2 linked regions of the Sus scrofa genome follow. The protein of the gene in region 2 binds, or shares a complex with, the protein of the main gene of each other region. Links are inferred from orthologs where the notes say so. Each region holds a gene or a part of one and is shown on either strand. Other genes may lie near its edges. The genes, in order: RARRES2 and CMKLR1.

Region 1 (15,194 bases), on a different chromosome or scaffold from region 2:
AGGTGCTGGGTCACTGGGTCACGGGCTCGGGGAGGGAAGGTGGGCAGAGGCAGGGAGCAGCGCCGCCCAGCTTGCACCCTGGCCCTGGGGGTGAGCCTGGAGGCCTGTCCCCTCGCTTTGCCTGGGCCACTGTGACTAACTCATGGTAGGACATTGGGAAGTTACTGAGACTGTAAGGGAGCAGGAAAAAATTCTCCGTCTTCTTTTACTCAGGGTGAGTTTGCACCCCTGCCCTACCTGGCAGCCTGTGTTTTCAGTTTAGCAGTGTAACAGTGGCGTGAATAAAACTGTACAGATTGCCTTCCGTGGTTGGAGCAGCATGATTTGAAGTGAGGTCTGTAGCCTCCAGACGGCTCTGGGGGCACCTTCTCCCCGAGCCGTGGGAGGGGTGTGCGCACGGCTCTGGGGAGGGGCTGGACTGGGGCCACTCCTTGAGGTCCCCACTGTGTCAAGTGCATCGGGGCCCTGCCCTCTCTCCGCCTCCCTTCCTTAGGTTGTGAGTGCGGCTCCAATTTTAGGGAAAACCACCTGAGAGCATCTCTGAACCGGGGTGGCCTGTCCGCCCTCCTACCTGGGGAGCAGTAAGTAGGTCAGGTGGGGGCAGGGATGAGACGTGCCCTAGGGTGGTCCTGGGGCTCTGTATTCCTTGGCACCGCCATCCTTCGAGCTGTTCTCTCAGGAGAGGCACCGTGCCCTTACTGTTTGGCATCACTGGACTGGGGTGGGGTAGCATGTGAGGGCGGTGGGGCTGCGAAAGCAGGACACTAAGACACTGGACGGTCCCAAACTTGGGTGCTTGGGCTCTGGAGCAGTGGCTCTCAATCCAGGCACTTTGTTTTGGTTGTCACAGCTTGTGGGGTGGGGGGGTTGCTACCATCCTCTCCTGGTGGAGGAAGCAGATGCACAGAGCGGCCCTCATGGCAGAGACGCAGCCCAGCCCCAGGAGACTGTCTGCCTGAGGCTGCTCCCCTGGCCTTGGTGCCACCTGCTCTGGCTGACTCAGGGCCTGTCTGAGCATTTTCTGGCCCGTTTCCTACTTAGGTAAACTGAGACGCGGAAAGGCTGGCTCTGAGCAAGGGAGGAAGATGGGCCACCCTCCTGAGATTGGAATGCCGCTTGTTATCTCAGTCCCATGCTCACCCGTGTAGCCAAGTCCTTTTCAAGACATTTAGGCCAACAGCCTCTGTTTGCTCATTTCTGTAACAGACCTGGATGGCTCCAGGGTTTAGAGTGACCTTGACGTGGTAGAATGTGGATAAGCCATTTTCGTCACACGGGGCCTGCTGTCTGCTGCCGGCCTCCACACGAGCTGGGTTTGCACAGGTGTGTGGGCACCTCCCAAGTCGAGGTGAGGAGATTGGAGGTGAGCTGTGGCCGGGAGCAGAGCAGAGGTCACCTGTCCACGTGCACCCATGTGTTTGAGGCAGGAGCTCTGCCTCCGGCCGTGTGGCCAGGTTCCCAGCAGTTGTTCTGGTCTGCCCTCCCCCGTCTCCGTCACTTCTTGCCCTCAGCAGGGTCATTGTTTCTTGCTGGTGCTTTTATGGCCAGTTTCTCGTGCCCAGTGCCCATATGCCCCCCGCCCTGTGGGCCAGAGAGGTCAGCTAGATGCAGAGGTGACCGCATCCCTTCCTCTGCTGCTTACAGACCCCAGCAGCTGGTTTTGCAGGGAGTAGGGCAGGCTTCCTAGCACGTTCCACGCCTCTTGGAAGGAAACTGGTAGAAATGAAGGAGCTGGACTGCTGCTGACCAGGGGGGCCGGGTAATGACCTGGGACCCTCTTCTCAGATGGTAGCTGAGGGTCAGATGTGTTAGCAGCCTCCCCAACTCCCTAGTGGGGGGTGAGGGTTGGTTGGGGGGGGAGTTCTGGGTCTGGTTTCCTTGGAGGGGGAATGAGAAGTGTTGCTACGGAAACAGGCCGATTGCTGGGGCCCCAGGTTTTGTAAACAGCGGGAGTGAATGGCCCCTTGATTCTCTGCAGGCGTCACTCCGCCTGGCTTGCGCCTGGCCAGAGTCTGTGGGTTTGGGGAGCTGCCACTTGGAGCAGAGATCCCTGCTTGTTTTCCTCTCTGCCTAAACGCTGACCCCTCAGTGCTCGGCATCGCCACACCCCCTACCTGCCCCCCGGCCTCCTCTCTTGTGCTCCTGTCTTGCACTAGCACCCGGGTTTCTGCCGTCCCACAGCTACTAGTGACTTGAAAGTCCCCTCCCTCCCCTGCCTTTCTGGAGCCACGATAAGTGCCACCCTGCTCCTCCCCCAGGATGCCTCCCTTGACCACTCGGCCTACCTTCCCCAGCCTCCCTTTGCCTGCTTGGGAAATGACGTCATGTTTGTGATTGGAGCCACGGATGCGGTTCTGTGGATGCCAAAGCCACGGATGCGGTTCTGTGGATGCCAAAGTGAAGAGGGTTTGGGTGGCCAGGGCTTGGGGTCGGGCCTGGCAGTGCTGCCACTTACTCCCTGGGCCTCCACTCTCCCCTCCCTCAACCTCAGTTTCCTCATCTGGGACTGAAGGCTGAGCTACCACCAGAGGTTACGGGTTGGCCCATGGAACCCAGAAACCATTTTGAATTCATTGCTGGTATTAAAAGAGACTGAGTCAGGGACGTATCTGATGCATAAAGCAAGGCCAGGTGCTCTCATTTACACCAGCAAATGCATGGCTCTCCCAGGGAGGAACAGAAGGACTGGCAGTGATGGCCACCTGTTGTCTACTCAGAGATAACTTTAAGGGGTTAAAAGAAACACCTCAGGAGTTCCTGTCATGGCGCAGCGGAAATGAATCCGACTAGGAACCATGAGGCTGCGGGTTCGATCCCCGGCCTTGCTCAGCGGGTTAAGGATCCAGCGTTGTCCTGAACTGTGGTGTAGGCCACAGAGATGTGGCTCAGATCCTGCGTTGCTGTGGCTGTGGTGTATGCCAGCAGCTGCAGCCCCCATTAGACCCCTAGCCTGGGAACTTCCATGTGCCATGGATAAGGCCCTAGAAAGACAAAAGACAAAAAAAAAAAAAAAAAAAAAGAAAAGAAAAGAAAACACTTCAGAATGACAATGGATAATCACCAGCAGCTACTGAGAAAGGAAAGTAAAGAGGTGTCCCTGGTGCAGAGAAGGAAAATGGGGAACTGGCGACACAGGGCCTGAGTGCCATCCCGTGTGACCCCAAGTCGGGCCCCCTCGGCCCACCCCCTCAGCGGGCTCTTGGACTTGAGTCCTCAGGTCCTGCCGGGCATCTAGGTTTCTGGCCATGGCGGTAGAGGCTGGGGGCTCCCAGAGGTGTTCGGAGGCCTGCTTACTGTTCGATTGTCTCTCCTTAGGGACCCACCAGCCTTCGAGGGGGGTGTTGGAAACAGGCGTTGGGCACGGGCCCAGGCAGAGTTGAGGGCCAACCCCTTGAGGCGAGCAGCCCGCTGACCGCCACCAGCACCCACAACCCTGTGACGGAACTGCCAGCCACCTGGCCCCCACGTCTCATGGAGCCTCGGGGCGAGAAGCCTGGAGAGGCCGACGGGGTGCGCGTCACGCCCCAACTGCTCAAGTCACGCTCGGGCGAGTTCGCCCTGGAGTCCATCCTGCTGCTGAAGCTGCGGGGCCTGGGGCTGGTGGACCTGGGCTGCCTGGGCGAGTGCCTGGGCCTCGAGTGGCTGGACCTGTCGGGCAACGCACTCACCCAGCTGGGCCCACTGGCCTCCCTGCGCCAGCTGACCGTGCTCAACGTCGCCAACAACCGGCTAACGGCTCTGGAGCCCCTGGCTGCCTGCGAGAACCTGCAGCGCCTCAACGCCGCGGGCAACCTGCTGGCTGGCCCCGGGCAGCTGCAGTGTCTGGCCGGCCTGCGGGGCCTCGAGTGCCTGCGGCTGCGGGACCCCTTGGCCCGGCTCAGCAACCCAATCTGCGCCAGCCCCTCCTACTGGGCCTCTGTCCGGGAGCTGCTGCCGGGCCTCAAGGTCATCGACGGCGAGCGTGTGAGCGGCCGAGGCAGTGACTTCTACCAGCTGTGCCGGGACCTGGACAGCTCCTTGCGTCCCAGCTCCAGCCCTGGGTCCCGAGCCCTGGAGGCCCAGCCCTGGGTGGAGCCAGGCTACTGGGAGTCCTGGCCACCACGCAGCAGCTCCATCCTGGAGGAGGCCTGCCGGCAGTTCCAGGACACACTGCAGGAATGCCAAGACCTGGACCGCCAGGCTAGCGACAGCCTAGCTCGGGCCGAGCAGGCGCTCAGCCCCGCAGGCACCACTGCGTCCTTTGTCTTTTGACTGCGCCCCCTGCCGTGGCCCGGGGCAGCCTGGCATGTGGCTGTGGGGTTGGCACATTGTGACCCCCCCCTCCCGCCCATGGGTCCCTTCCTGCCTCTGTGCTTGTTGTTATGGTTTCATCACGCTGGCCTCTGGCAAAGCAGGGGACTGTGCTCTTACGTCCCCGTCCCTAAGAGCAGCCCCCTCCGCTACTCCACCGCAAGGAAAAGTGCCCACCTCCGTCCACAGGCATCAGGGACACACCTCCTGGGAGGCCTGGAGCAGGTATCAGGGCCTCAGGCCCTCCTCAAGCAGCTGGCGCCATCCGAGGCTGTCCTGCCACCTACTCAGAGTGCCCGGGAAGAGGCCCCTTGCCTCCTGTGTCCACAGCTGCTGCCATTCCTGCCCCTGTGAGTCTGAGACCTGGTGGAAGGAAGTTGCTTCTTCCTAAGACGGGGATGGCCAGCCTTCCGGCAGAGCTCAGCGAGAAGGCCATGGTTTCCTGCCTTCCAGAGTCGCCCGTCCAAGTGATTGCTCTGCCCCACAGCCCGGCGGGGCCTTCACCATCCATCCCCCCTGCGCCGCTGATCCCTAGTAAACTCCTGATGTTAATTGCCTCGCTGCCTGTCATTTCACGTGGCCCTGCTTGGTCTTCCCAGGCGTGAGTCCCTGAAAGGAGGCCCCGGGTCCTTGCTCCTGCTGGCCTTTCCTGGGGAAGGAGGAGGGGCACGCGGCTTTGCGGGGGTGCTCCAAGGGAAGTATCCTGCCCCCCCCTGGGGCTTTGCTTTCTCCCAATGAGGCTGGAGCCTCCAGGCCTCTCCTCACACACAGGTCTCCTCCAGCTGAGCTGGGGAGGGAGGGACTGTGGGGGTGGGAGGAGAGAAGGCTTTCTCAGCAGAGCAGTTTTATTAGCTCAGTGATAATGGGGGTGGCCCTCCCTGGGCGCAGAGAGGGGAGGGCCAGGCGGCCTTCACTGGTGTCCTCCCGCAGCTTCCAGGAAGCCGGGTGAAGTTCTAGAGAGGGAAGAGAAACTAAGATTGAGTGTGAGGGGGCTGTTTGGGCCCCATCCCAGCCTTCCTTCCATCCCAGGCTCTCTCCTCCCTGCCTCCCGCAGCCTGGCTCCAACTCCTCTCCATCCCGGCCCCACACCCCACTCCGGCCTGCCATCCCTGCTCTGATCTCCCTGGCCACCTACCAGCAGGGCCTCAGCTGGGGGGCAAGGCTTTGAAGAAGGCAAATTGTCCTGGGAAGTAGTAGCTGTGGGGGTCCTCGCCGGCCCGCTCCACCCGGCTGCACTGAGCTTCCTGGCGCTCCTCGGGCTCCTGTGGGCACCAGCGCCCGCTCAGGCCGGCCCAGGGGGAGGCCTGGCAGCGTCCACTGCTCATCCGCATTCTCTAGGGAACGTCTGGGCCCTGCCCAGAGCTCCTCCTCGCCCCTCCCACCCTCATCCTCTTCTCTCCTGCTGCCTTTCACACCTCCACACCCCTGCACCCGGACCTCCCCTGCAGCCCCCCCCCAAGCCTCCCCCTCGCGCCTCTGCCAACTCTTACCCGTTGGACCTGAGTCTCTATGGGGCAGTGAACCATCCGGCCCAGGACTTTATCCTCAGAGTTCAGCTTGATGCAGGCTAGGCACTTCCGCTTTCTCTGGGGAGGGGGGCATGGGGCCAGGGAGGAAGGTGATGAAGGGAGGCCTATGGCCCCATGAGGGTGGAAGCTGGGGGCAGCCTACAGTGGGGTCACAGTCCATTGGCAGTTCTGCTGGTTCCAGGCACCAACCACCCTCCCACTGGGAAACTGCCGAAGTCAAACCATCTTGCGGTTTTCTAACTATCGAGATTGGGAGAGTGCACGAGTGTGTGGGGGTGTGTGTGTGTGTGTGTGTGTGTGTGTCCGTCCCAGGTGGGTTCTCCACACTGGACTTCCACCCGAGCCACTCTGCTGTCATCTGTTTGCATTTTCTTGTAAGATTTGATTTGAACACAAGGGTCCTGGTATAAAGGTCTGGAAACCACTAGTGTAACCCAGACCCCCCTTAACAGATAGAGGGGACTGAGGCCTCCAAAGAACCTGCAGAGCCCCAGGGCGGGTGCGGCAGAGCTGGGACAAGGACCCAGATGGCTGTGCTCCCAGCCCAGGGGTCGGCCTGTGGCAGTGATTTTGCTCCCAACGTGGCTGATGAATCAAGCCCTGGTATGAAGCAGCCCAGGCTGGACCATCTCTACTTGAAAACTCACAGGAAGGGAGGAATTCACCAGGGCTTCTTCCACCCGTGACCTGAAGCCTGAGAGAGGAACTTGGATGGAGGGAGGATCAGTCTGAAGAACGTGCGTCCTCAGAGAGAAGCCCAACCGTCCTCCTCTGGTCTGTCCAGGCCCGCAGCCCACCCGAAACCATCACGACCCTGGGCTCAGACCCAGGCCACCCCCTCTGAGGTCTTCAACCTCATTCTCGATGCATCTCCTACCCACCCCCAATTGCATACTCTCACGGAGCGCACACCCTGTCACACACGCTGGCCCTCACTCACCCCGTTGGGCTTGACCTTGCACTCAGCTTTCTTCCAGTCCCTCTTCCGGCAGCTGGTCTGCTGGAGCTTAAATTCCAGCCTCACAAAGGTCCCGGCCGGGAAGGGCTGCCGACAGACAGGAAGGCCAGCAGCCAGCTGAGCCAGCAGAGCACTTCCTGGATGTGACCTGTCCCACCTTGAAACAGCACATCCCAGGGGGTGGCTGAGGCCGTGGCCTTTCTCCGGAGAGCTGGGTGCTCACAGGGCCCAAGCACTTTTGCATTTGCTCCTGGGGAACATGCTGGACTCCCGTGCAGTGGTCCCGTCCCCCTCCCCTCCCTGGGGTGCCGCTCACCGTGTCCATGGCACTGTTCACACCAGTCTCCCGGAAGGCCCACTGCACGGGTGGGTGCTTGTGGAACTCCTCCAGGGCCACCTGCAGGCCACGGAGCTGGGCCGCTGTGAGCTCAGCCCTGCCCAAGCCCATGGTGCCCAGCCACAGGGCCAGCGGGAGCAGCAGCTGCCACATGGCTTCACCTTGATCACCCTGATCCTGCAAAGGGTTAGGGTTAGGGTTCAGCCAGCTTGGGGGGTCGGGGTGGGGCAGCTCCCTGGCCCTGCGGCTCAGGGGCCACGTCTGGCAGAGGCGGAGGGCAGGGAGTGTCCCTCTCCCATTCCCCTGGGATTCCCCTGCTCCTCCCACCCTCCCCCACTCTCCAGGTCCAGCTCAGCCCGGGTCTGGCGCAGTCCTGGGTCGGGGCTGAGTTGGCCTTCGGCCTCAGGCAAGAGCTTGAGAAGCTGCGCTGCTGCCCACTCCAGCTTGCCCCGCTTTGGGGGCCCATTTTCTCTCCCATCCTCTCTGATGCCCCTCTCCTGCTGGCTGTCCCCAAACTACTGGCTCCAAGGGGCCCGGGGCCCTGACCCTCACCCTCTCGCACCCCAACTGGGGGTGGAGGGGGGGCAGGGGCAAGCACCAAAGAGAGGCCAGGGAGGCTGAATATTTTTGGGAGGAGGCTGAATATTTTTGGGAGGACGTAAACACGTGGGAGGGGTCTAGAGCGGGTGGGAACAGGAGGACACTTAACCCTTCCTGGGCTAAAAGTGCCCCTTGCCATCAGCCCTACCTGCCCCCACCCCCGGAAATGGGGGGCTCGCCTTGGTCCCACCCTTGGCTTTCTTCTTCTTCTTCGGGCAGACCCTCCCTCCCCAGTCCTTTTTTTCTGGGGCCTTCCCCCCATCCCGCTCCCAGCCCCCCCAACCTGTGACTGGGGTCGCCTCAGGACTGGACGGTCCCGACGACGCTGCGGGGGAGAGTGGTCTTAGGACCAGAAAGCCAAAGGGGTGGAAACTGAGGCCCCCGCAGTGAAAAGCTCCCCGGGGCGTTGCCTGAAAGACAGGGCTCCAGACAAGTTGACAGATATCGCCCTTTGGAGCAGCGCCCTTTGCCCGCCCGTCCTGCCGTCCAGCCACTGCCGCTCCCCGCTCACCTCCGTTCCCGGGCCTCGGGGTCGCTCCTACACTGCCGCTTCCCGACCTCCCCAGGCCGACTCTTGGCCGGGCTGTCAGCCTCTTCCCGGTACCCCCTGCTCCCTCCCACGGCTCGGCCCCCATCTCCTCCCCCTCCCACCTCCTGGGCCCCCTCCAGCTCCCAGCGCAGCGGAGGCTCCTCCCCCCACCCCACCCCCGCCCCGCGCTGGGCCGGCCCTCCTGGGACTGCGCTCCCCAGGCCAGGCCCTCGGCCCAGCCTCTCCTTGGAGGGCTGCGGACTGCCCTGCCCCCAGGCCCTTCCTGGGCGGCCAGTCCCCAGCGTCCCCCAGACCCGCGTTTCGGGAGAGTCTTCCAGAAACACAGACTACCTCAAATCATATGGGACCTCCTCGAGGTCCTTTGATCTGCCTGGCTGCCTCCCTTGGCCTAAAGCCGCGCTGGGAAGGGAGCGGTCTCCTTTAGAGAGGAGGCTGACAACCTCTAACACAGCCAACACGTCCTGATCCTGCATGTCCCATCTGTGACGGTGACAGATTCCGGGGTCTCGTGTGGGCGAAGGCGTGGTGGGATTCCTCAGGCTGCTGGGAGTCAGGGAAAGTGGGGGTTTGACTCCTGCTGCTGGCTTGTGCAAATAGGAGCAAGCTCTGGGATTTCATAGAGTGTCAGTCACCGGGACCGGGTGACCAGGGCTGCTCATCTCCCCCAGAAAGGACCTCATTTAAGGCCCAGAGCCCTTCCCTGCCAGGCGGGGGTAGACGCCCCACCCTAGGCGCTGGTTTGAGAATTAAATGAGGAGATACACGGAAAGTGGCAGATGACCCCGTGTTTGGCACAAGGTTTTCTCCCATTCCCCATGCGCCCCTGCCAGGACTCTCCTCGTGGAGCCAAGAGTTGCCTTTGCAGTGTGCCCTGGGGGTGCCATAAAGATGCTTGGCTTCAATTAGCCCTTTCTGGTGGCTAAAATTCCACCAGTGACACTTTGAACCTACTGTGAGTTGTCCACGATCTTTAAGCAGAGACGGGAGCTGGGATCTCTGTTCTCCAGGAGCTTCCGGTGAGTCTAGAGGGAAAACAGGCAGAAGGCATTTCCCAGCCCAGGGCTGCAAGCTGGAGGATCAGAGAAAACCTCCCAGACAAGGTGCGGACTGGGGCTGAGGAAAGCCTGGAAGGTGTCCTGGCTTCAGTGAGGGCCGCATCAGGCCTGGGTGAGCCAGGGAGGCTGGGAGCAGGGCGGTGGCGGCAGACAAGGAAGGAGACTGGGCGCTGGATGCATGTACAGTGTAGGTCACGTGACCAGACAGAATTCCTTTTGGGTGAAAGGAACGTGACAGTTGGGCCACCGCCCTGCAGAATGTCACAGGTGGGGACAGGGAGAGGATACTTAGGGCATATTCAGGAGCTCAGTGGCAGTGGCATGTCTCAACCCAAGGGCAGGTAACAGCACTTAGCTATTTAGTGGTTCGGGATCATCCCTGGCCTCACAGATGAAAGCGGAGATTCATGCATCCAAGACACTCTGGGCAAAGATTCCAATAAGTGAACTGAGAACCCAAACATTCTCCTGTCATACTTGCAACCACAGGGACAAACTACTGTATGGTTTTAGTTTTTGCTTTTTGGCTGCGCTCATGGCATGGGGAAGTTCTGGGGCCAGGGATGGAACCCATGCCACATCAGTAACTCGAGCTACAGCAGTGACAACACTGGATCCTTAACCAGCTGAGCCACCAGGGAACTCCAGCACATGTTTTCTGAAAAGAACCGATGTGGGAGTTCCCATTGTGGTTCAGTGGTAACAAACCTGACTAATATCCAGGAGGACGAGGGTTTGATACCTGGCCTCACTCAGTGGGTTAAGGGTCTGGTGTTGCCATGAGCTGCAGTGTAGGTCGAAGATGTGGTTCAGATCTGGTGTTGCTGTGCTGTGGCTGTGGTGTAGGCTGGCAGCTGTAGCTCCAGTCTGACCCCTAGCCTGGGAACCTCCATATGCCATGGGTGCATCCCTAAAAAGACAAAATTTAAAAAAAATTTTAAATAAAAGAACCATTTTGAATTTGAAGCAAAAGTATATCAATTTCAAAATACACCTGTCCAAGTTCAGTAAATTCACTAACTCTTGTATCAACTCAGTATAACTCACACACATTAAAATAATATCGCATAAGTTCAAAAGCAACTATAAATATTAATATCAGCAAAGTAGTCTTCAAAGTTTTCTTGTAATTTTTGCAGCCAATTTACATAACGGTGTCCTCTACAGTTAAAAGTCTTTACATATTGATTTATGTGAGAAAAGTATGCAAAGTCATAATTGTTCACTATTAGTAAAAGATTTAATTTAAAATTCTCATATTTGTTTGGTTAGGTCACAAATGAGCTTTTCCTTTCTTTAGAGCTTTAAATTTCCTTTGGTCATAGGTAGTGTTATATTGGTGTGAGAACTTTCTATTTCATATATATATATTTTTTTTGTCTTTCGTCTTTTGAGGGCCGAACCCGTGGCATATGGAGGTTCCCAGGCTAGGGGTCTAATCGGAACTGTAGCCACAGGCCTACACCACAGCCACAGCAACGCCGGATCCTTAACCCACTGAGCAAGGCCAGGGATCGAACCTGCAACCTCATGGTTCCTAGTTGGATTTGTTTCTGCTGCGCCACAGCGGAAACTCCTATATTTTTTATCTTTATTGAATATTTGGTTAACATTCTTTGGTTTCAAGAAATTCTTGGTGTTAACAATACAGTAAGTCTTAGCAAAACCCTTCGGTGACTCAACCAATGAGTGCTGGCAAAGAAAAGACTATTAAATTCATCGTCATCGGTTTCTTTCACTAGTCTCCCAAACTGGCCATGTTTCAAAGAATTTGCACTTAAATACTAAACGATTTTAACAGCTCTGCCCGTGACGCTTGCATAGAGTCCATTCAGAAAAGGGAGCACAAGTACTTTTTTTTCTTCTTTTTTCTTTTATCTTTTTTTTTTTTTTTAATGGCTGCCTTGGCAGCATATGGAAGTTCCGGAGGGATTGAATCCGAGCTGCAGCTGCAACCCGAGTGGCTGCAGTCTGATTCTTAACCTACTGCGCCAAAGCAGAAACTCCCACAGGTATTTTCAATAGGCATCATTCAGTGGAATGAAGCAATGTGGGAAACGTTGGTCTCTTGCTTTAAGATTCCAAGACCTCAGTCAGGCTGGCCACGTGTCAAGTTCTCATTATGAACGACGTGTGTCTGTCTATGTTCATGAACGCATGGAACATTTCTAGAAGGGAAAACAAGAAGCTTGTAGCATTGATTGCTTCTGAGGAGAGGAACTGTCTGGAAAGGCAAAAAGGAGGGAGAAAAACTGCACGTTCACGTTGTACTTTTACAATCTCTTACCCTCTGGGTGACTTGTACATTAGAGTGTAAAATAGGGGGTTCCCGTCATGGCACGGCAGAAACGAATCCAGCTAGGAACCATGAAGTCGAAGGTTCCATCCCTGGCCTTGCTCAGAGGGCCAAGGATCCGGTGTTGCCATGAATTGTGGTGTAGATCACAGATGCGGCTCAGATCCTGTGTTGCTGTGGCTGTGCTATAGGCCGACAGCTGTAGCTCCAATTGGACCCCTAGCCTGGGAACCTCTATATGCTGTGGGTGCAGCCCTAAAAAGCAAAAAATAAATTTAAAAAAAAAGGAATATAAAGATAAATTTTGCAAGGCTGTGCTCAGGGCTTACAAAAATCCCTGGGCCAAGGATTGATCCAACCTGAGCCACAGCAGCGACAGCAGTGATAAAGTCAGATCCTTAAACTGCTGTACTACCAGGGAACTTCTAAAAATAATTTTCTAAACTTTAAAAATCACTAAACAAGTAGCATTTTTGAAAGCTTACTGTTGGCAAGTGTATGGAGAGTGGATGAGAGGGGACGTGTCTAGGTGTGGGGCGCCCTCAGTAGGAGACAGTTGTGGCTATTGGTGAATGTGATAGAAGCAGGGTCAGGGAAGATGGAGAGAAGCAGATTAAAGCAGAGAGAAGACAGGAATGCCTAGCCCCAAAAAGGGTTGGTGATAGGAGTCCTCACTGTGGAGCAGTGGGATCGGCAGAGTCTCTGCAGGGCAGGAGCAGGTTCGATTCCTGGCCCTGCACAGTGGGTTAAAGGATCCCACGTTGCCCTGGGTTGCAGCTGATCTGATTCCTGGCCCTGGAACTCCATATACCGCAGGGGTGGCTAAAAAAAAAAGTCTTAGCCATGTGTACAGCATGTGGAGGTTCCTGAGCCAGGGATTGAACCCCCACCATGGCCGTGACCTGAGCCCCTGCAGTGACAACACTAGCTCCTTAACCCACTGCATCACAGGGGAACTCCAGTACCACGCTGTTTTGCTTGCTGAGTTTGTAGTGAGTTTTGAAATTAGGAAGTGTGAGTCCTCCAGCTTTGTTCTTTTATTTCAGGATTGTTTTGGCTATTTGGAGTCTCTAGGGATTTCTATTAATTTCTATTTCTGCAAAAAAATGTCATTGGGATTTTGATAGGGATCGCATTAAATCTGTAGATCACTTTGGGTGGTATTGATATCTTAACAACATCAAGTATTCCAATCCGTGAACATGGGATATGTTTCCATTTACTTGCGTCTTCCATAATTTCCTTCAGCAGTGTTTTATGGTTTTCATTGTACAGGTCTCTCATGGTCTTGGTTAAGTTAATTTCTATGTATTTTATTCTTGATGATATTGTAAATTCCATTTAGAATAATGGAATTTTCTTTTCCTCACAATAATTTCTTTGGAGATTATTCCTTGTTGGTGTATAGAAATGCAACTGAGTTTTATGTGTTGACTTTGTATCCTGCTACTTTGCTGAATCATTTAGTTTTGATAGGTTTTTTTTGTGTGTGTGGCATCGTGAGGGTTTTCTATGTGTTAGATCATTATCTGCAGAGATGAGTTCACGTCTACCTTTCCAATTTGGATGCCTGTAATTTATTTTTCTTGCCCAATTGCCCTGGAGAGAACTTCCAGTACTTTGTTGAATGGAAGTAGTAGAGGCAGACATCCTTGGCTTGTTGCTGATCTTAGAGGAGATACTTTCTGTTATTTGCCCTTGAGTACGATGTTTACTCGGGGTTCCTCACATATGGTTTTTATTAACTGGAGATAGTTCCCTTCTATTCCTAGTTTGTTGAGCAGTTTTATCATGAAAGGGTCTTGAATTTTGTCAGATGCCTTTTCTGCTTCAGTTGAGATAATCATGTGATTTTTTTTCCCCTTCATTCTATTAATGTCATTTATTACACCGATGGATTTTTATTTGCTGAGCTTCTTTTGAATTTCAAGAATAAGTCTCACTTGGTTATAGTGTGTAATTTTTTAATATGCTGCTGAATTTGTTTGGTAATATTTTGTTGAGGTTTTTTTTCTTTTGCATCAATCTTCATAAGGGATATTGGTCTGTAGTTTTCTTGTAGTTTCTTTTTTTGGCTTTGGTATCAGGGAAATACTGGCCTCATATAGTGAGTTAGGAAGTTTCCCACCTCTTCAGTATTTTGGAAAAGTTTGAGAAGGATTCATTTTATTTTAATTAATTAATTAATTTTTATTCTTTATTTATTTTTTCTTTTCTAGGGACGCACCTGTGGTGAGAAGGATTTATTTTAGTTCTTCTTTAAATTTTTGATAAAATTCACCAGTGAAATCATCTCCTCCTGGGCTTTTCTTTGTTGGGATGTTTTTGATGACCGATTCAATCTTTTTGCTTGTTGTAGGTCTACAGATTTCCTGTCTTTTTGTGATTTAGTCTTAGTAGGTTTTGTGTTTCTAGAAATTTGTCCATTTTATCTAGTCTATTCAATTTGTTGGCATACAATTTTTCATAATATGCTCGTAATAATTTTTTTTCTATAGAATCAGTAGTAAAATCTCCACTTTCATTTTTGACTTCAGTAATGTGAGTTATTCTTGACCTCATCTTTCATACTTTTTATTAAACTTTTAAAATTTCAATTTTTTAGCATCAAAAACTCTTTCCTATTTGAAAACGCCACCCTGGGAGTTCGTTTCCGTTGTGGCGCAGTGGAAACGATCCCTGGCCTCACTCAGTGGGTAAAGGATCCTGCGTTGCCGTGCGCTGTGGTGTAGGTTGCATACTCAGCTCAGATCTGGCATTGTGTGGCTGTGGTGTAGGCCAGCAGCTGTAGGTCTGATTCGACCCCTAGCTTGGTCTTTACAGGGCCGCACCTGTGGTGTATGGAAGTGTCCGGGCTGGGGTCGAACTGGAGCTGTAGCCACCAGCCTACATCACAGCCACATCAACGCTAGATCTGAGCTGCATCTGTGACCTACACCACAGCTCACAGCAACGCCAGATCCTTAATGCAGTGAGCAAGGCCAGGGATCAAATCCCGCATCCTCATGGTTGCTGGGCGGGTTGGTTGCCAGTGAGCCAAAATGGGAACTCCCGTAGGATTTCCGTTTTCAAAGTTCCATTTTCTCCTTATTGTGGTTTGTAGCTTTGGCCTTTCCTGTTGGAAAGGCTCCTCAAATGCTTGACTGAAAGCTTTGTGGGCAGTTTGGGGCCTTGTCAATGGGTGGGCTGCACTGGAGGTGATCAGGTAGCAAGGCTGATTTTCTACTGTTGTTTGAATGATCCCCAATTTGGTATTATCCTTTGGTCTTTTCTTCGTATCCATCCTAGTTTTTCAAAGAAGAGTTCTCTGAGTTCTTGCTTGTGAGTATTGCGGGACTAGCTGTATTCTGGATACCAAGTGGGGTCGGGAGGATAGGAGCCATCATTAGTGTGGGGACTTTGACTTTGCCCTCCGTCCTTCATTTGGGCTGTTGCCCTCACCGGATACCATCGTCACAGAGCAGAGCCTGGGGATGTTTCTCTGCTGTCCCTAGCCTCATCGCTATCTCCCTTGCAGCTGGTGCCTTCCCATCTGGAGCCTTCTCCATGGATGGAGTCACTTGCTCCCTGTAGATCACA
Region 2 (15,616 bases):
TTCCCTGACCCCCCCATTACCCCCTACCCGTCCCCCGTTCCCCACCCCCGCCCTTGGAGCCCAGCACTTCTCCATGGGGCATGGCAGGAAGCAAGGAGACTGGCCAAAACGACATTTTCTACCCTGGGAGCCCAAGGTCGCAAGGCACCAGATGCCCCCATCAACTGACACATACAAAGGCAAATTTCAATTCCCACTTTCCTGAAAATAAAAATAGAGGTGACTTCATTGAGCTGACCACGTGCCGTCCTCATGTATATATTTATGTATATTAACTCACTTAACCCCCAAGAGTCTCCCTGCCTTACAGATGAGGACACTGAGGAGGCAGGAGGTGAAAGGGCCGAAACAGGATCTGAACTCTAGAGCAGGTGGCTGTGGCATCTATGACCATGTCACACTGTCAGTAATGCCAAGCAGACATCAGTGTATCTTTCTGTGACAGCACCAGGTAGAAATAACATGGCCTCTGGGTTCCAACCAGCAGGTCAAGAAATTCTACTATTTCTCGGAGTTCCCGTCGTGGCGCAGTGGTTAACGAATCCGACTAGGAACCATGAGGTTGCGGGTTCAGTCCCTGCCCTTGCTCAGTGGGTTAACGATCCGGCGTTGCCGTGAGCTGTGGTGTAGGTTGCAGATGCGGCTCGGATCCCGCGTTGCTGTGGCTCTGGTGTAGGCCGGTGGCTACAGCTCTGATTCGACCCTAGCCTGGGAACCAACATATGTCGTGGGAACGGCCCAAGAAATAGCAAAAAAGACAAAAAAAGAAAAGAAAAAAAGAAATTCTACCATTTCTCAATTAAGCTTATGCAAAAATCTACAGGTTCCAAAAGAGAAGTAAATTAACCGCTATTTTGCCTTAAAACAGCATCAGCACAAGGTCACTGCCAACCCACAGGACCCCTTCCCTGTATTCAGGCTCAAGCCTAGGGCCTCACCCTCAGCCAGTCCTGAGTTCTGGCCTGGGAACCAAAAGCCCTGGATCCTAATCCTACCAAGTGACCTTGGAAATGTCACTTAAACAATCAGAGCCTCGCTTTCCGCAGATCTAACACGTGGGCAAATGTAACTACCCCCATGGCCCCTCCAAAGTCCCATGAGGGCAGGAATCCTGTCTTTTTCACCATCCTGCCTTGTGGAGTTCCAGGCACAGAAAAGGTGCTAATGAATGTTTGTTGAGTGACTGAATAAAAGTCTAAGTGACAGGTTTGCCTCCCTTCCCCTAAAGGCCTTCAGAAGAGGGACTGGGCCTGATCCATCTTAAGTTCTCACCTGGGTACAGCTTTCGCTCTTCATGAGTTTATTCACATAGGAAATTGTCCCTAGGCACCCACCCTGTTCCCAGCACAGTCAAGGCCTCAGCATCATCCAGGATGCACAGATGGCTTCAGTCCATCCTCACACGCCATCTCCTCTTTTTTCTGGCCAGTGACTGTAACACCTAATCACACTGGGCTTCCTGAGCCCAAGACAACCACCCAGCTGCCTTCTGATCAGCAAATCTGGCCCATTCTGGGGTCTTAGACAATGATTCCTTCATATCCATTTCCTTATACCCCACGCTGGGGGAATACAGCCCAAGGAAATCCCCTACCCTAACCCCATACGTGGTCTTGAAGTACACTCGTGCATGCATGCACGTGCGTGTGTGTGCACACACACACAAACACACACACACCTTGCACACATGTGCTCCAATGTGCAATGGGACCTTAGGACAGGAGTTGGATTTTCTGAGTTGAAATCCCAGTTCTTTTTCTTAAGAGCTGTGTGACCTTGGGAGAGTCCCTTTACCTCTCTGAGCCTCATTTTCTTCATCTATAAAATGGAAATGCTAACCATGAAGCCTTTCCATGTAGGGTTGTAGGGGGGTTCAGTGAGATAATGGATATGAAAACCTTTGGCTCAGCAAGCGTGCTTAGCTCTATACCATTATTATAGTTCCTTTTTCCAGGAGGGAACAAGAACAGCAGTTGCCTAAGTTCTAGGAAAATCTATGTTTAGGGGACTGGAATGTGGAGATTTACTCAGTGTATTTGATGAGGATTATCTGGAGGATAGGAAAGTATTTGTGGGCCCCACGTTATCCTGTTAATTTTAAGATTGACTAGTGAAAATTTAGAATTTAGAATCAGGACTGGAAGAGACCCAAGCAGTCACCGTATTTGTGGCAGAGACAGCTAGCTGTCCACAAAAATTTGTCCTCCCTTCCACAGTACACAGCTGTAGGTGAGACTGAGTCACCCTTGCCAAGAACTACATTTCACAGCCTCCTTTGCAATTGGATTGGCCACATGCCTAGTTCTCATGTGTGGCAGAAAGCAGTTAAGAAGCAAACATGCCCCCTCCATCCTTTCTTTCACCAGTGATGATGTCCAAGGGATGGTAGGGACATGAGATGGGTTCCTGAATCGCCACCCCCCACACAGAAATACCTGCCTTATAATAAACTTGTGTTTTGTTTGAGCCGTGATACTTGTTTGGGTCTATTTGTTACTTCCCTGACTAATACAACATTCAATCTCCTTATTTACAAATGAGAAGATTATGGCTAGAGAGTGAAAATACATTGCCTAAGGTCACACAACAAACTCAGCAATGGTTAAGAACTTTGTTGTCTTAACAATTTGGAGTAGATTTGCAGTTTTCAAGAGGATTCCTAGAGGCCTTCGGCAGTGACAGTGAGGCTCAGTGAGCTGCTGTATAGAGTCTTCCACTTCTGCTTCAACTAGAATAGCACCACTTTATCTGTCTTCAAATTGCAGTTCTTTATATGTTTTTTTTTCTTTTTTTCTCTTTTCTGTCTTTTTTTTTTTTTTTTTTTTTTTTTTTTTGCTTTTTAGGGCCACACCTGCAGCATGTGGAAATTCCCAGCCAGGGGTCAAATTGGAGCTACAGCTGCAGGCCACAGCCACAGTCATGGCAACATGGGATCTGAGCCACATCTGCAACCAAACCACAACTCACGGCAATGTCAGATCCCCAACCCACTGAGCAAGGCCAGGGATTGAACCCACCCCCTCATGGATACTAGCTGGATTCATTTCTACTGCACCACAACAGGAATACACTCCATATATCTTCATTGGATGAAAGGGTTCTGTGACTTAAAATAATGTCAAAGGCCACACACTGGGTGATTGCTAAGGGATCTGACTTTCTGTGGTATAAGACCAAGTTTCGCTTCTTCTCCACCATTGCCTCTTGGCCTCAACTGCTGACATAGGACATGCAGACTCACAGAAGTGCATAGATATTTGCTTAGAAAGGAAAAAAATGTCTCCGTGAGCAGCAAAGAACCCAGAAACCTGGATAAAGGGCAAAAAGGAAAGATATTCAAGTATTCCATCTCAGTGATTCTCAAGTTTTAGGGTATATCAAAATCATCAGGGGTGCTGGTTCAGAATGCAGACACCCACACCTCATCCTCAGAGATGACTCGAAAAACCTCATCCTCTGACTCAAAAAACCAAGGCTGGAGTTCCTGTTGTGGCTCAGCAGGTTAAGAACCTGACTAGTGTCCATGAGGATGCAGATTTGATCCCTGGCCTTGCTCAGTGGGTTAAGGATCAGGAATTGCTGCAAGCTGCAGCATAGTTCACAGATGCGGCACGGATCTGGCATTGCTGGGGCTGGGGCATAGGCTGGCAGCTGCAGCTCCAATTCAATCCCTCACCCAGGAACTTCCATGTGCCCCAAGTGTGGCCCTTAAAAGCAAAACAAAAACAAACCAAAGCTTTAGGAAATGTTCATAATTATTCTAATGCTAGAGGTCCCAAGATTGCCCTTTGAGAAGCCTTGAGTCTGATTCACAGCCTGGAAACTCTCAATGGTAACTGTGCCTATGTAGCATAGCTCTAAGAGCATGAAATGGGCTCTTGGTTTTCTTGTACACTGGCTGGAACCTGAGCAGTAATAATTTACTGGTAAAGAAATCAATCATAATTTCTCTTTGGCTCAGATGGGTGACAGGTATGGTCAGCATGGTGATATAGAAATGATAATAGAATAATAGCTAATGTTTATAGCATCTTCTGACACAACAAGCTCTCTGCAAAGTGTCCAACATATATCATCTCATTTAATCTTTATAATAATCCTATGAGGTAGTTACTGTTCCTCTTCCCATTTTACCAATGAAGAAACTGGAGCATAAAATTAAGCTGTGTAGACACTCAGTTGGTGGTTAAAACTCACCCAGCAGAGCCCAATCCAATAGCCACAATGCTCTGCTACCTCTTGTGGAGGTCTAACACCAGAAACCCTCTTCAGACCTCAGTTTCCTAATCTATAAAATGGGCATGTTAAGAATATCTTTATCATACAGCTGTGGTGAGGAGTCAAGAGAGTCATGGCGATAAAGTGGTTTGTAAACTGAGAAGAGTTATTAAGGAAACACCTAAGAAGTGAGACTTTAGTCTCACTCCCCCGTCCCATTTTATGGGTGGGGAAACCGAGGCCTGGTTACTTTATTTACTCAGTGAACCTTTCCTGAACACCTACTGTAAGCGAGGTCTTGTGCAGAAAGAGAAAAATAGCCCACGTCTGGCTTCAAGGAGCCTCCAGGCCAGCAGGAGAGACAGTCAAGATGATTGACGATTACTACACAGTGTAATATGTACTGTGATGGGTGGAGTACGTGTACTGGGAGAGTCTAGTGGGCAGGCCTTGACCCAGTTGGGGGGAGAGCACTTTTCAGAAGGTGTCAAATCAATGAGGGGAGTGACCTGCCCAAAGTGAAATCTATTATTCCCTGACGTTTTGGAGGAGTCCAGAGAAGGTCCCTGTGTGCCAGCGGATAACTCTTCCCATGGGCTTCTCAATGCCTGACCCACCACTTGGGCATCAGTGGTTCAAGTTAAACTTTAAGAAAATGCCAAGCTGCCCTCCTCCCGCCAGTGGCCTCCTGGATTGACCAAACACATTCATCTCAGCAACAGAGGTGTTTAAAGGAGACTGTCCTTTGAGCAAGTTTGAAGAAATCAGGAGAGATAGTAAGAACCATGGAGAAGACTGGTTTTGAAAAACAGGCTGGGGATGCCGAAGGGGCCAGGCTCTTGAATGGAGGGAGAAGACAGACCCAAGGCTTGGCCGCTCTGCTGGCTCCCTGAACCACATAGTCTGAGTGATCAGACTGTCATCAAGTAGCAGTTACTTGAGTATAACGACGTGTTGTTTGCTTGTCATTTTACCAAACGCTGGCCTGAATGGCTTACCCATTTAAAATGTGCTAGTCTGAAAGCAGAATGGGGAGTGGAATATTTCTGACAGATAGCCCTGGCTAAGGGTTCATATCCTTCATATGCAAAGAACTCTTAAATCTCAATAAGATAAAGACAGACATGCCAGCAAGGGGGAAAAAAAATGGCAATAGACTTGAACAGGACAGTCCTAAAAGTGAACAGTAAGATTCTAGAGAATAATCAGCATGAATAAAGAAACATCAAGTCAAATAGCCAGATGTTATCCTCAGCTTTCCCATCAGGGGGGTTGTAGGAGATGGGGAACAATGGGGATGTAGGGGGTTGGGGAAACCGTGCGAGACTATCACACCCCAATATCGTGCCAGGGGAGTGCAAGCCAGCACAATCTTCCAGGGTGGTGTGGACAAAAGCCTTGGAAGCCTTAAAAATAGGCAAAACTTTGAGCCAATGATTTTACCTCTGGAAAGGTATCCATAGGAAAACACGTAAAGATGATATACAGAAGCAGACATTGCAATGCCATTTATATTAATGGAAAAAAGAAGCAGCAGCAACCACATTGAGGAATGGTTAATAAAGTCATCGTCTCTGTGCAGCCATAAAAATGTACATTGGAGGAACATGGATAGTACAGATGGAAGGTCACCATCCATGGTTAAGGACAAGGTAGGTTACCACAGTAGATAGTGGAAAAGTGTGTGTGTGTCCACACTGAGACACTCCTATGTGTCTGGTACATTGTAGGCACTCAACAAGCTTCATAACTAAATCAGCGTGTGAGCACGTGAATGAGTGGTACAGAGAGGCACCTAGCAGTCCACCCCTGGATTAGGAACTCCGTCTTTCCTCTCTGTGGCTGAGAGGTAGGATGGCCTAGCGGCTAGGAAGGTGGGCTGTGCAGACTCTCATTCATTCTGACCTCAGCCCCCAGCTTACCATCTCCACCATGCTGAGCAGGTGCCTCCCCCAATCTGAGCCTCAGTTTCTTTACCAGTAAAATGGGGACCATGAAAGTCCCTCCCTCCTCAGACTGCTGTAAGCATTGACCAAGTACCAAAGGGAAACACTGAACTCACTGCTTTTATCACCACGGTGACCTCACTGTTCTTTACAATTAGCATGCATCTCTTTGGAACTCTCAAAGTCGTAATATAGCTGTTTCCATTTGGACGAAAACTACATTTTAGCAAGAACCAAAGAGCTTCTGTCACTGCTAGGGTTCCCCTTCCCAGGCCCCTCTGGCTGATATCAAACCCAAGCATGATACCTTGTGGCTGGTCTCCACCCAGATCTTCCCAAGGCTTTCGTGGCTTCAGGCCACTGGAGGCTGTGCAGGAGACCTGTGTTCCCCGACTTCTTTCTTGAAATCACACTGTTCTTGGGTTGTGGCTGTTTGCCCAGAAAGCAGTTCATGCATTCATACAAGACCCCCTCCAATCCCCCAGAGCACAGCCCCCCAGAACATCCTCATCTCTCGCAGGCTCCCAGGGAGACCCACTCTGTGCGCTCTTTGCTCAGCAGGGCTGCCGTCCTGAATGGGCCAGAGCTCTGCCAGAGAAACAGCTGGAGGGAGGAGAGAGGGAGGGGCAGGAAACCGGGCTGACCGAGGGCGGGGGCGGCCAGCTGCGTGGAGTGGGGACCGACAGGGGAGGCTGCTGGGGCTTGTGGGTGGTGGCTGGTGGCGCAGCCTGCTGGGGAGGACCGGCCCCTCTGGGAGCCGGGAGCCGTGCCCACCATCTGAGCACAAACCAGGAGCACATGCAGGCCTCTCCGTGGCTGTGGGAACCACTTCTGCTCCTTGCCAGGGCCTCTGGAGCTCCAGCCAGACTATGCACAGACGAGACTGGCTGCCGGATATCCCTGGGTCACCTCCTAACCCCAGCGTTTGTGCATGCTGTTCCTTCCACCTGGGTGCCCTTCCTGTTTCCTGCCCCTAGTTGTGGCCTGATAACCCCCTACTTCCTTTTTTTCCTCTTTATTAGTATTATTATTTTTTTTTTGTAAATTAAAATAGCAACGAGGTGGGTTTTTTTAAAGCATCAAATGAAAAAATTAAAATGTTCTATAGAGTTTGATTTTAGTAAATGTTACAGGGAAGCAAAAACCTTAGACACCATTGACAAATACATTCATGTACCATTTCTAGAGTGATAACAAACTGCAACAAACCTTTAACCACTTTCAGACCTTGCGTTAAGTATTAATTCTATTTTCATCCCAGACCCAGCTTCCCAGAGGTAAATATCATTAACAGTTTGGAATGAACACACACATACATTTTAAAGATAAAAGTAAAATGACTCAGTCCTACTTTGGGTACCATATTGTAACTTGCTTTTTCATTCAATGATTGTATGTCTACGTAATACATATTTATACATATATATGTGTGTATATATACACACTTTACTTTGTTTTAATCATCACTAATTATTTCATTGACCTGATGAATGTTTATTTAATCACTATTTTAGGGTGGATGATTAGGTTATTTTCAACTTTTGGACTATAGTATACACACCATTGCACACTTATCCAATTACTTTCTTATACAAAAATGCCTATGAACATGTTTATTATTCAGAGTCACCTCCCAGGGAAGACTTTCCTGCCCCTTGGGGACTGCTCTGGGCTCCCCCGTCGCAGCCCTGATGCCCAGCTTGTTAGGGTGTCTCTGTCCCTTGCACTGGGAACCTCTTGGGGGAGGGCCTGTGTTTTGTCCCCACGGCTAAGCATGTGCCTGGCTTATAGTCACGGATCAACACCACCATCATCTCTGAAGAATCAAAATAGCTGACAGCCAGGCAGTGTGCTAGGCGCTTGGTATTAATCCTCATGAAGGAAGGAAGGAATTAGGTGCTATTTCTGCCCCTATTATTCAACTTTGAGAAAATTGGGACACGGAAAAGTTAAGTCACTTTTCTAAAGTCACACCATTGGCAGGTGGCAAAGCTGGGATTTCAACTGGGCCATCTGGCTCCAGAGCCCCACCCTTAGCCTCCAGACTAAAGAACTAACAGAAATGTCCACTGTGTGCATTGCTCCATGCCAGGTGCTTTCTGTGGAGTACATCTCGAACCTCCAACAATGCCAGAGGAGGTGGCATTTGCCCATTTTACTGATGAGGATTCTGAGGCCGTGGAGGGAAAGTCATTTTGCCCAGGGCGCCCAGATCATACCAGTAGTGGCATAATAGAACCAAGGTCTGTCTGATTCCAAAGCCAAGGCTGCAGAAAATAACTGTGTAGAAAGGAAAAGAGAGGGGTGGTGGGGTGGAGGGAGAGCAGGGGGAAAGGTAACAGAGAGAGAAAAAGGGAGGGGGATAGGAAAGAAAGAAGAAGGGGGAGTGGAAGGGAGGGAGGGAGGGAGGGAGGAGTGAAAAAGAGGGGTGAGAGAGAGAGGGAGGGAGGGACACCTGCTCTTCTTGGGCCTCCAAAATCTTGGGCAGGTAGGGAAACATGTCCTTCAGCATCTGACCAGCCCAAGAAGCTCACCTTCTCTCCCCACCATCCTCGATCTTTCGTTGAGATTTACATTTAGAAACTATCTGGTCTAACACTTTCATTTCAGAGATAATAATTGGAAGCACAGAAACGTTAAGTCACTTGCCAGAGGTCACACAGCTCCTAGAGTCAGAAGTCAGGCCCAGGCTGACTTAAAACCCCTCTCCTCCCTCCTCTGCCAGGCTTGCCCTTCCCCATTCATACTGTACAGATGGAAACATTGGACCCAGAGAAGGCAAGGGACCCAGAGAAGGTCACCCAAGAGTTAGCAGTTGAGCGGCAGCCACAAAGTCTCCTGGTCCAAAGGGGAGGCCATTTCCACCATGTGAGGGGGATCCTGTACCTCACCATCTAAAGGTTTGTCACTAACAGAGACCAGTGGTTCTCAAAGCATGGATTCCAGGCCAGCAGCAGCAGCAACCTTACCTGGAAGCTTGTTAGAAATGCAGGCTGTTAACAAGCCCCCAGGGGATTCTGATGCTGGCTCGAGTTTAAAAGCCACTGATACAGACTTTTCCATTAGGAATACATTCTGGATCCCAGGACACGTCACCTTCTCAATCCACAGAGCCGTGGTTAAGGATGTAGACCTTGGAATCGGACAGACCTGAGTTGATAGAATCCATGTCTCCACCACTGGGAGCTGTGTGAACAGGTCCTTTCGCCTCTCTGAGCCTCAGTTTCCTCATCTGTTTGAATGGAGGAGGAGGGGAGGGGAGGAGGAGGGGGAAGAGGGGGAAGCAGCCTTCCAGGAAGAGGAGCACACTCCTGGGAGTCCTGGAAGGGGAGGTGGGCGGTTGGGCCTTTGGACGGATTTATGGAAATTGCCTCTTCCTCCTTCTAGAATGTCTCCCAGAGGCCTCTCGCCTCCAGAACCAGCCCGAGGCTATAATGAGGCTCAAGTTTTATCAGCTGGAAGCCACCTCAGCTGAGGGAGGATGCTGGGCTCCCAGCCAGCCAGCTCTGGATTCTGGAGGTGGAGGTCAGAACGTGCAGCCCCACCCAGCCCGTGAGGAATAGGCCGAGTCAGGCCGCGACCGACCGACCAGCAGAAGCCACGGTCTTTGGCCGCCATTCGGAACATGGCGGAAGAGTTTGGCTTTTTCTTCCTTGGAGTGAAAAGCATTGGGTGAGTTTTTTTACTTTCAGTGTTTTTTTTTTAAATAGGATTCTGAAATCCAAGCCTGAGACCAGAATACTGGGGCCTGAGAGGGTGGTCATGCCCTTCAGGGCTGGCAAAGACGCTTCTGTTTTTTCCCCATAGATGCTGTCGTTCCAAGAAGGCAGATAAGGGTTTTTAAAAATTATTTCATTTTATTTTTTTGAATTTTTTAATTATTTTAAAATTTATTTTATTGAAGTATAGTTGATCTACAATGTTGTGTTAATTTCTACTGTACAGCAAAGTGATTCAGCTACACACACACACACACACACATATATATATACACACACACACACACACACATATATATATATATACACTCCTAGAGTTCCAGTCATGGCCCAGTGGAAATGAATCTGACTAGTATGCATAAGGACGCAGGTTCAATCCCTGGCCTCACTCAGTGGGTTAAGGATCAGCATTGCCATGAGTTGTGGTGAAGTTTGCAGACGTGGCTCAGATCCCAAGTTGCTGTGGCTCTGGTGTAGACCAGCAGCTGTAGCTCTGATTCAACCCCTAGTCTGGGAACTTCCATATGCTGGGAACCTCCATGTAGCACGGGTGCAGCCCTAAAAAAAAGGCAAAAAAAAAAACCCATATATATATACACTCTTTTTCATATTCTTTTCCATTATGGTTTATCACAGGGTGTTGAATATAGTTCCCTGTGCTATACAGTAGGACCTTGTTGTTTATTCATTCTATATATAATAGTTTGCATCTGCTAATTCCAAACGCCCATTCCATACCTCCCTGACCCCCTTGGCAACCACAAGTCTGTTCTCTAGGTCTGTGAGTCTGTTTCTGTTTTGTTTTTTGGTTTTTGGGTTTTGCTTTTTTTTTTTTTTTTTTTTTTTTTGCTTTTTAGGGCCGCATCTGTGGCATATGGAGGTTCCCAGGCTAGGTATCAAATTGGAGCTGCAGCTGCCAGCCTACACCACAGCCACAGTGATGCAGGATCTGAGCCACGTCTGCGACCTGCACCACAGCTCACTGCAAAACCAGGTTCTTAACCCAGTGAGCAAGGCCAGGGATGGAACCTGCATCCTCATGGATGCTTGTCAGATTCGTTAACTGCTGAGCAACGACAGGAACTCCTGTTTCTGTTTTGTAGATAAGTTCATTTGTGTCATATTTTAGATTCCACATATAAGTGATATCATATGATTTTTGTCTTTGATTTACTTCACTTAATATGATAATCTCTAGCTACATTTATGTTGTTGCAAATGGCATTATTTCATTCTTTTTATGGCAGAATATTATTCCATTGCATATATGGACCACATCTTCTTTACCCATTCATCTGTCAATGAACATTTAGGTTGTTTCCGTGTCTTGGCTATTGTGAATAGTGCTGCTATGAACATAGGGGTGCGTACATCTTTTTTTCAATTATACTTTTGTTGGGTTAGGCTTCCTCATGATGCGCAACTCTAGTTGCTTGGCTCTGGAATCCTGGAGCTCTGTGTTTAAGGATATCTGAGGCTACATCCAGGCCTGCCTGAGAAGAGAACTGTGATCAATTAGCAGTGCCTTCCCTGGACCTGGGGATGGGGGCTCTCTCATCCCACGGTGTTCTCCAACAAAAGTCCACCCCATTGGCCTAGGAGGCTGGGGGCTAGTCCCAGCTCTGCCCCATTTGTCCCAGGTATTGACAGATCCTAGTGTAGATTTCATTTGTATAATTTGTATCTCCATTCCCCACACTCCTTGGTATCTGTGAGGGTTTTTTTGGGGGGGCGGGGGAGGGAAGCCTCACCCTTGGTATATGGAAGTTCCCAGGCTAGGGGTTGAATCAGAGCTATAGCCATCGGCCTACGCCCCAGCCACAGCAACGTCAGATCCGAGCCACATCTGCGACCTACACCACAGCTCATGGCCCTGCTGGATCCTTAACCCACTGAGTGAGGCCAGGGATCGAACTCACATCCTCATGGATACTAGTCAGATTTGTTTCCACTGCCCCACAACAGGAACTCCCTTGGTATCTGTTTCTGATTGATCTTAGTGTTCAGGGATTCCTAACACCCTTAGTTAGAGCTAAATGATTTCTCTATCTCCCTGATCATCAGTTGCTAAAGTGGACTCACCAGAGAGGCTTTCAAACCAAAGGGAGCCTTCGGAGATGCTTTCTGAGACATGCAGAACTCTATAAAAGCGGATAGTTTGGGGCTTTCTTGAAGGCATGGACAAGCCACACTTGGACCCGTGTGGCCTTGGGCAAGTCATTTATCCTCCCAGGTTCCTTCAGTGCTCCTGTGATTAAGTTATGGCTGTGATTAAGTGGTGAATCTGGATATGGGAATATAATCCTGGATTATCTGGGCTGGGCGGGGGTGGGGTGGGGGGGCAGTGTAATCCAAGGATCCTCATGAGAGGAAGGTGGGCAATGACAGGGAGAAGGCAGTAAGGTGATGAAGGAAGCAGAGCTCTCAGTGATGGGGTCACTAACCAAGGAATGTGGGCAGCCTCTGTGCTAGAGACAAGAAGTGGATCCTCCTCTGGGAGGAACTGGCCCTGCCAACATCCTAATTTTAGCCCCTTAAGACTCATTTTGGAATTCTGACCACCAGAACTCTAGGAGCGGGTGTATTGTTTTAAAGCACTAAATAAATGTATGGTAGTTGTTAAAGCGGTAATGGGAAATGAACCCAAAAGGCTGTTCCAGAAAAGACCAGAACACTTGATGGCAGCCAGATCTGAGTTTGAGCCCCTGATCCACTTACTAGCTGTGTGATCTTGTGCAATTTCCTAACCTCTCTGAATCTCAGCTTTCTCCTCTATGCACGAGAATAGTAAAGTACCTACCTCAGACTATAGGAAAAATGAGTCACTTGATACACACCACATGCTTAGAACAGTCTGGCACATAGTTAGCACTAAGTAAATGTTGGGTTTTCTCCCTTCTTTGGGGCATTAAAAGTCCTGCATTCCCAAGTATGGGCCCTCTATCTCTTGGGATGCTACTAGAACCACCTTCCTGATGCTCCATTTTATTTAGTGTCCTTCCACTGCTCAACAACATTCCATGGCTCCCCAGTACCCTGTCTTTAATTTGGTTGATCAAAATCCCCCATTACCAACTTCATCTCTCAGGAAGGAAAAAACCAGAGGGATGGCAGAGCTGAAAAGAATGTTGGAGGAGCTAGATCTTCAGATGTCAATTGAAGTGTCACCTCCAGACCTCCCAAGACCAGTCAGCACCCCTGTTGTCCGTTCTTATAATATCCTGTCCTCCACTGCAGCACCAGCCTCAGTCATAATGCAGCAATCATTTGTGCTGGGAATATACCATCTGTCTCCCTTCCACGGTCAATTCCATGGGGGCAGAGACTGTGCTAGGCACGTGGTCACTCTTCAATACCTATTTGTTAAATGAATGAATAGATGGATAACCAGCCAGCAACCTCCCCAGGCAGCTGAGCCCAAGACCCAAGTTCTTCCTGATGGCCAAGTTCCTGCTCCTCCCTGAAAGGCCTGCAGTGTTATCAAGATAAGATTGTTGAGCCCTGGGCCATGCGTCATCAGACACTTGTCATACCCTTAGCCAAAAATCATATTGGAAACTTGACTTGTGTTCAGGTAACAGAGTTCCTGCCTCTGTGGGTGAAGGAGGGTCCCTTGAGCTCTCAGGGATTGACTGAGGTGGAGGGAAGGAGCCCAGAAGTGAGATGCTGAGTTTGGGGAACTGAAAAGGAAGAAGAGGTAGCAAGATGCTCGAAACTCAGGATTCTGTCTGCTCAGCAAGCATCCGGGTTCCCCCAGGCTTTCATCCAAACTGAGAGGTGTTAACAGCACCAAATGGGTCCTGGGTGGGACAGGGAGTCAGGAAGCCTCCAGTCTGAGGCCCTGGGAGGGGGCTTTCCTGGTTGGGAGTGGATACACAGTGAGCCGTGGGGACCCTACCCTCTCAGCTCCTCCTACTAGAAGAGGCAGTTTTCTACTGGCTGTGGAGGGGACCACCCTGGATGCCTAGGAGGAGTGGGTGGGGTGGGGTGGCAGGGGCTGTTCCAGCCCATTTCTCCAGGATGAGAACAGAGGAGCGTGGAGCCCTGTTGCCTGCTCTTCCCCAGCTCTCAAGTGTTGCCTGACAGGATGTAGCTTGATTCTGCAAAAGCTTCCATTTTCCAGGGGGTAGAACAGGCCCAGAGAGGGTTAGCAGCTGCTCAAAGCCACACAGCAAGTCCTGAGCAGGCAAGCTTTCCCAGTTCCCAGGGGATTCTCTCACCCCTACGCGTGTGCTCACACACACGCACACGTTATCCATGACCTTGCCCCTGCCCATCTCTCCAGCCACATGGCCCACCTCTTCCCCTCCTACTCTGACCCCATCAAGCAGTTTCACATTCCACCCCCTTGGCCTGAGCTGCCCCTTCTGCCAGAGATGCTCTCTCTCACCACCCTGTGCGCAGCCCCCTGGTAACCTGGTCATCTTTTAAAGCCTAGCTCAGCTGTCCCCTCCTTCAGTCAGCCTCCCAGCATTGCCCCTCCTCTTCCTGTCCACCTGGACAAGTTGATTGTCCCTCCTGCCAGCTAGGTCTGCACTTGGCCACCACATCCATGCTTTCTCAATTCACACTGATTTTTCATTCTGCGGTGCACATATCTGTCTCTGCACTGCTGTCACCCCAGCTCCTGACACTCCTGGAAATGCTTGATGAGTTGGGGCAGCCCCCATGCCTGCACATGCCTCCCCAGGGCCAGCTGTTATGTGAGCTACTAGAAATGGATTCCAAGTAGCAAAGCCACTGATTTACAATGTTTTAGGAACACAGCCTTTTGAAGTCAGAGGGATCTAGGTTCAAATCCCATTCCTGTTGCTTTCTTGCTGTGTGACCTTGGGTAAGGCACTTGCCCTCTCTGGGCTTCCCTTGTCCTTTCTTTTTTTAAAATTTCTTATTTATTTATTTTTCTTTTGTCTTTTTAGGGCCACACCTGCAGCACATGGAGGTTCCCAGGCTAGGGGTCGAATCAGAGCTGCAGCTGTCAGCCTACACCACAGCTCATAGTAACGCTGGATCCTTAACCTACTGAGCAAGGCCAGGTATTGAACCCACATCCTCGTGGATCCTAGTCAGGTTTATTAACTACTGAGCCATGACGGGAACTCCTAGGTCATTTTTTTTTTTTTTTAACCGCGCCCACAGCATATGGAGGTTCCCAGGCTAGGGGTCGAATCAGAGCTGTGGCCGCTGGCCTATACCACAGCCAGAGGAACAGGATCCAAGACCCATCTGTGACCCACACCACAGCTCATGACAACGTCAGATCCTTAACCCACTGAGCAAAGCCAGGGATCAAACCTGCATCCTCATGGATACTAGTCAGATTTGTTTCTGCTGAGCCACAATGGAAACTCCCCTTGTCCTTTCTGTAAAATGGAGAAATATTTCCACCTCATAGCATTGACTGGGAAGATTCTCGGAAGTGAGGCATATAGTGCATATGGCATGGGGCTCAGAGCAATTGCTTAAAACATGCTGTTGCCATAACTCCATGGGTCACTTCTAGAAGCCCATCCCCCAGCCTCCCTCCTGGCTCTGGCCTTGATCATCCACCAAAGTCTCTGTCCTTGCTGTGTTCTTAACACAGAAGAAGTAAAGCCACACTGGCTCTGCCACTCCCTGGCTGTGTGACCTTGAGAAAGTGACTTCACCTCTCTGAGCCTCGGTTTCCTCCTCTGTAACATGGGGATGGTAACAGCATCTACCTGGCTGGGTATTATGAGAATCAAAAGAGTT

The links.
Region 1: the proteins of CMKLR1 (region 2) and RARRES2 are in contact, whole or in part, in a cryo-EM structure (PDB 8ZJG), measured with the Homo sapiens proteins. The link is inferred for Sus scrofa from reciprocal best matches to the Homo sapiens genes CMKLR1 and RARRES2. Residues at the interface, in NP_001135815.1 of Homo sapiens: Asp20, Tyr21, Leu22, Asp23, Ser24, Ile25, Val26, Val27, Leu28, Phe88, Leu92, His95, Tyr103, His104, Asn116, Leu119, Ile120, Met123, Arg178, Leu183, His184, Gly185, Lys186, Ser188, Cys189, Phe190, Asn191, Trp203, Thr205, His217; in NP_002880.1 of Homo sapiens: Leu34, Phe37, His38, Phe60, Thr75, Ser76, Cys77, Arg96, Leu111, Gly112, Arg113, Leu114, Val115, His116, Cys117, Pro118, Ile119, Thr133, Leu136, Arg137, Gln139, Arg140, His146, Ser147, Phe148, Tyr149, Phe150, Pro151, Gly152, Gln153.

The regions. Positions count from the first base shown.
Region 1 is NC_010460.4:55,898,576-55,913,769, forward strand, and holds RARRES2 (retinoic acid receptor responder protein 2 precursor), read right to left. Parts: upstream 7,280-15,194; 5' UTR 7,268-7,279; coding exon 7,094-7,267; intron 6,865-7,093; coding exon 6,760-6,864; intron 5,877-6,759; coding exon 5,781-5,876; intron 5,553-5,780; coding exon 5,436-5,552; 3' UTR 5,426-5,435; intron 5,262-5,425; exon of another isoform or gene 5,244-5,261; 3' UTR 5,200-5,243; downstream 1-5,199. Other genes in the region: LRRC61 (leucine-rich repeat-containing protein 61), read left to right, coding at 3,316-4,251. UniProt on the Homo sapiens protein: Adipocyte-secreted protein (adipokine) that regulates adipogenesis, metabolism and inflammation through activation of the chemokine-like receptor 1 (CMKLR1). Also acts as a ligand for CMKLR2.
Region 2 is NC_010456.5:42,411,325-42,426,940, reverse strand, and holds the start of CMKLR1 (chemokine-like receptor 1), read right to left. Parts: upstream 6,597-15,616; 5' UTR 6,472-6,596; intron 1-6,471. UniProt on the Homo sapiens protein: Receptor for the chemoattractant adipokine chemerin/RARRES2 and for the omega-3 fatty acid derived molecule resolvin E1.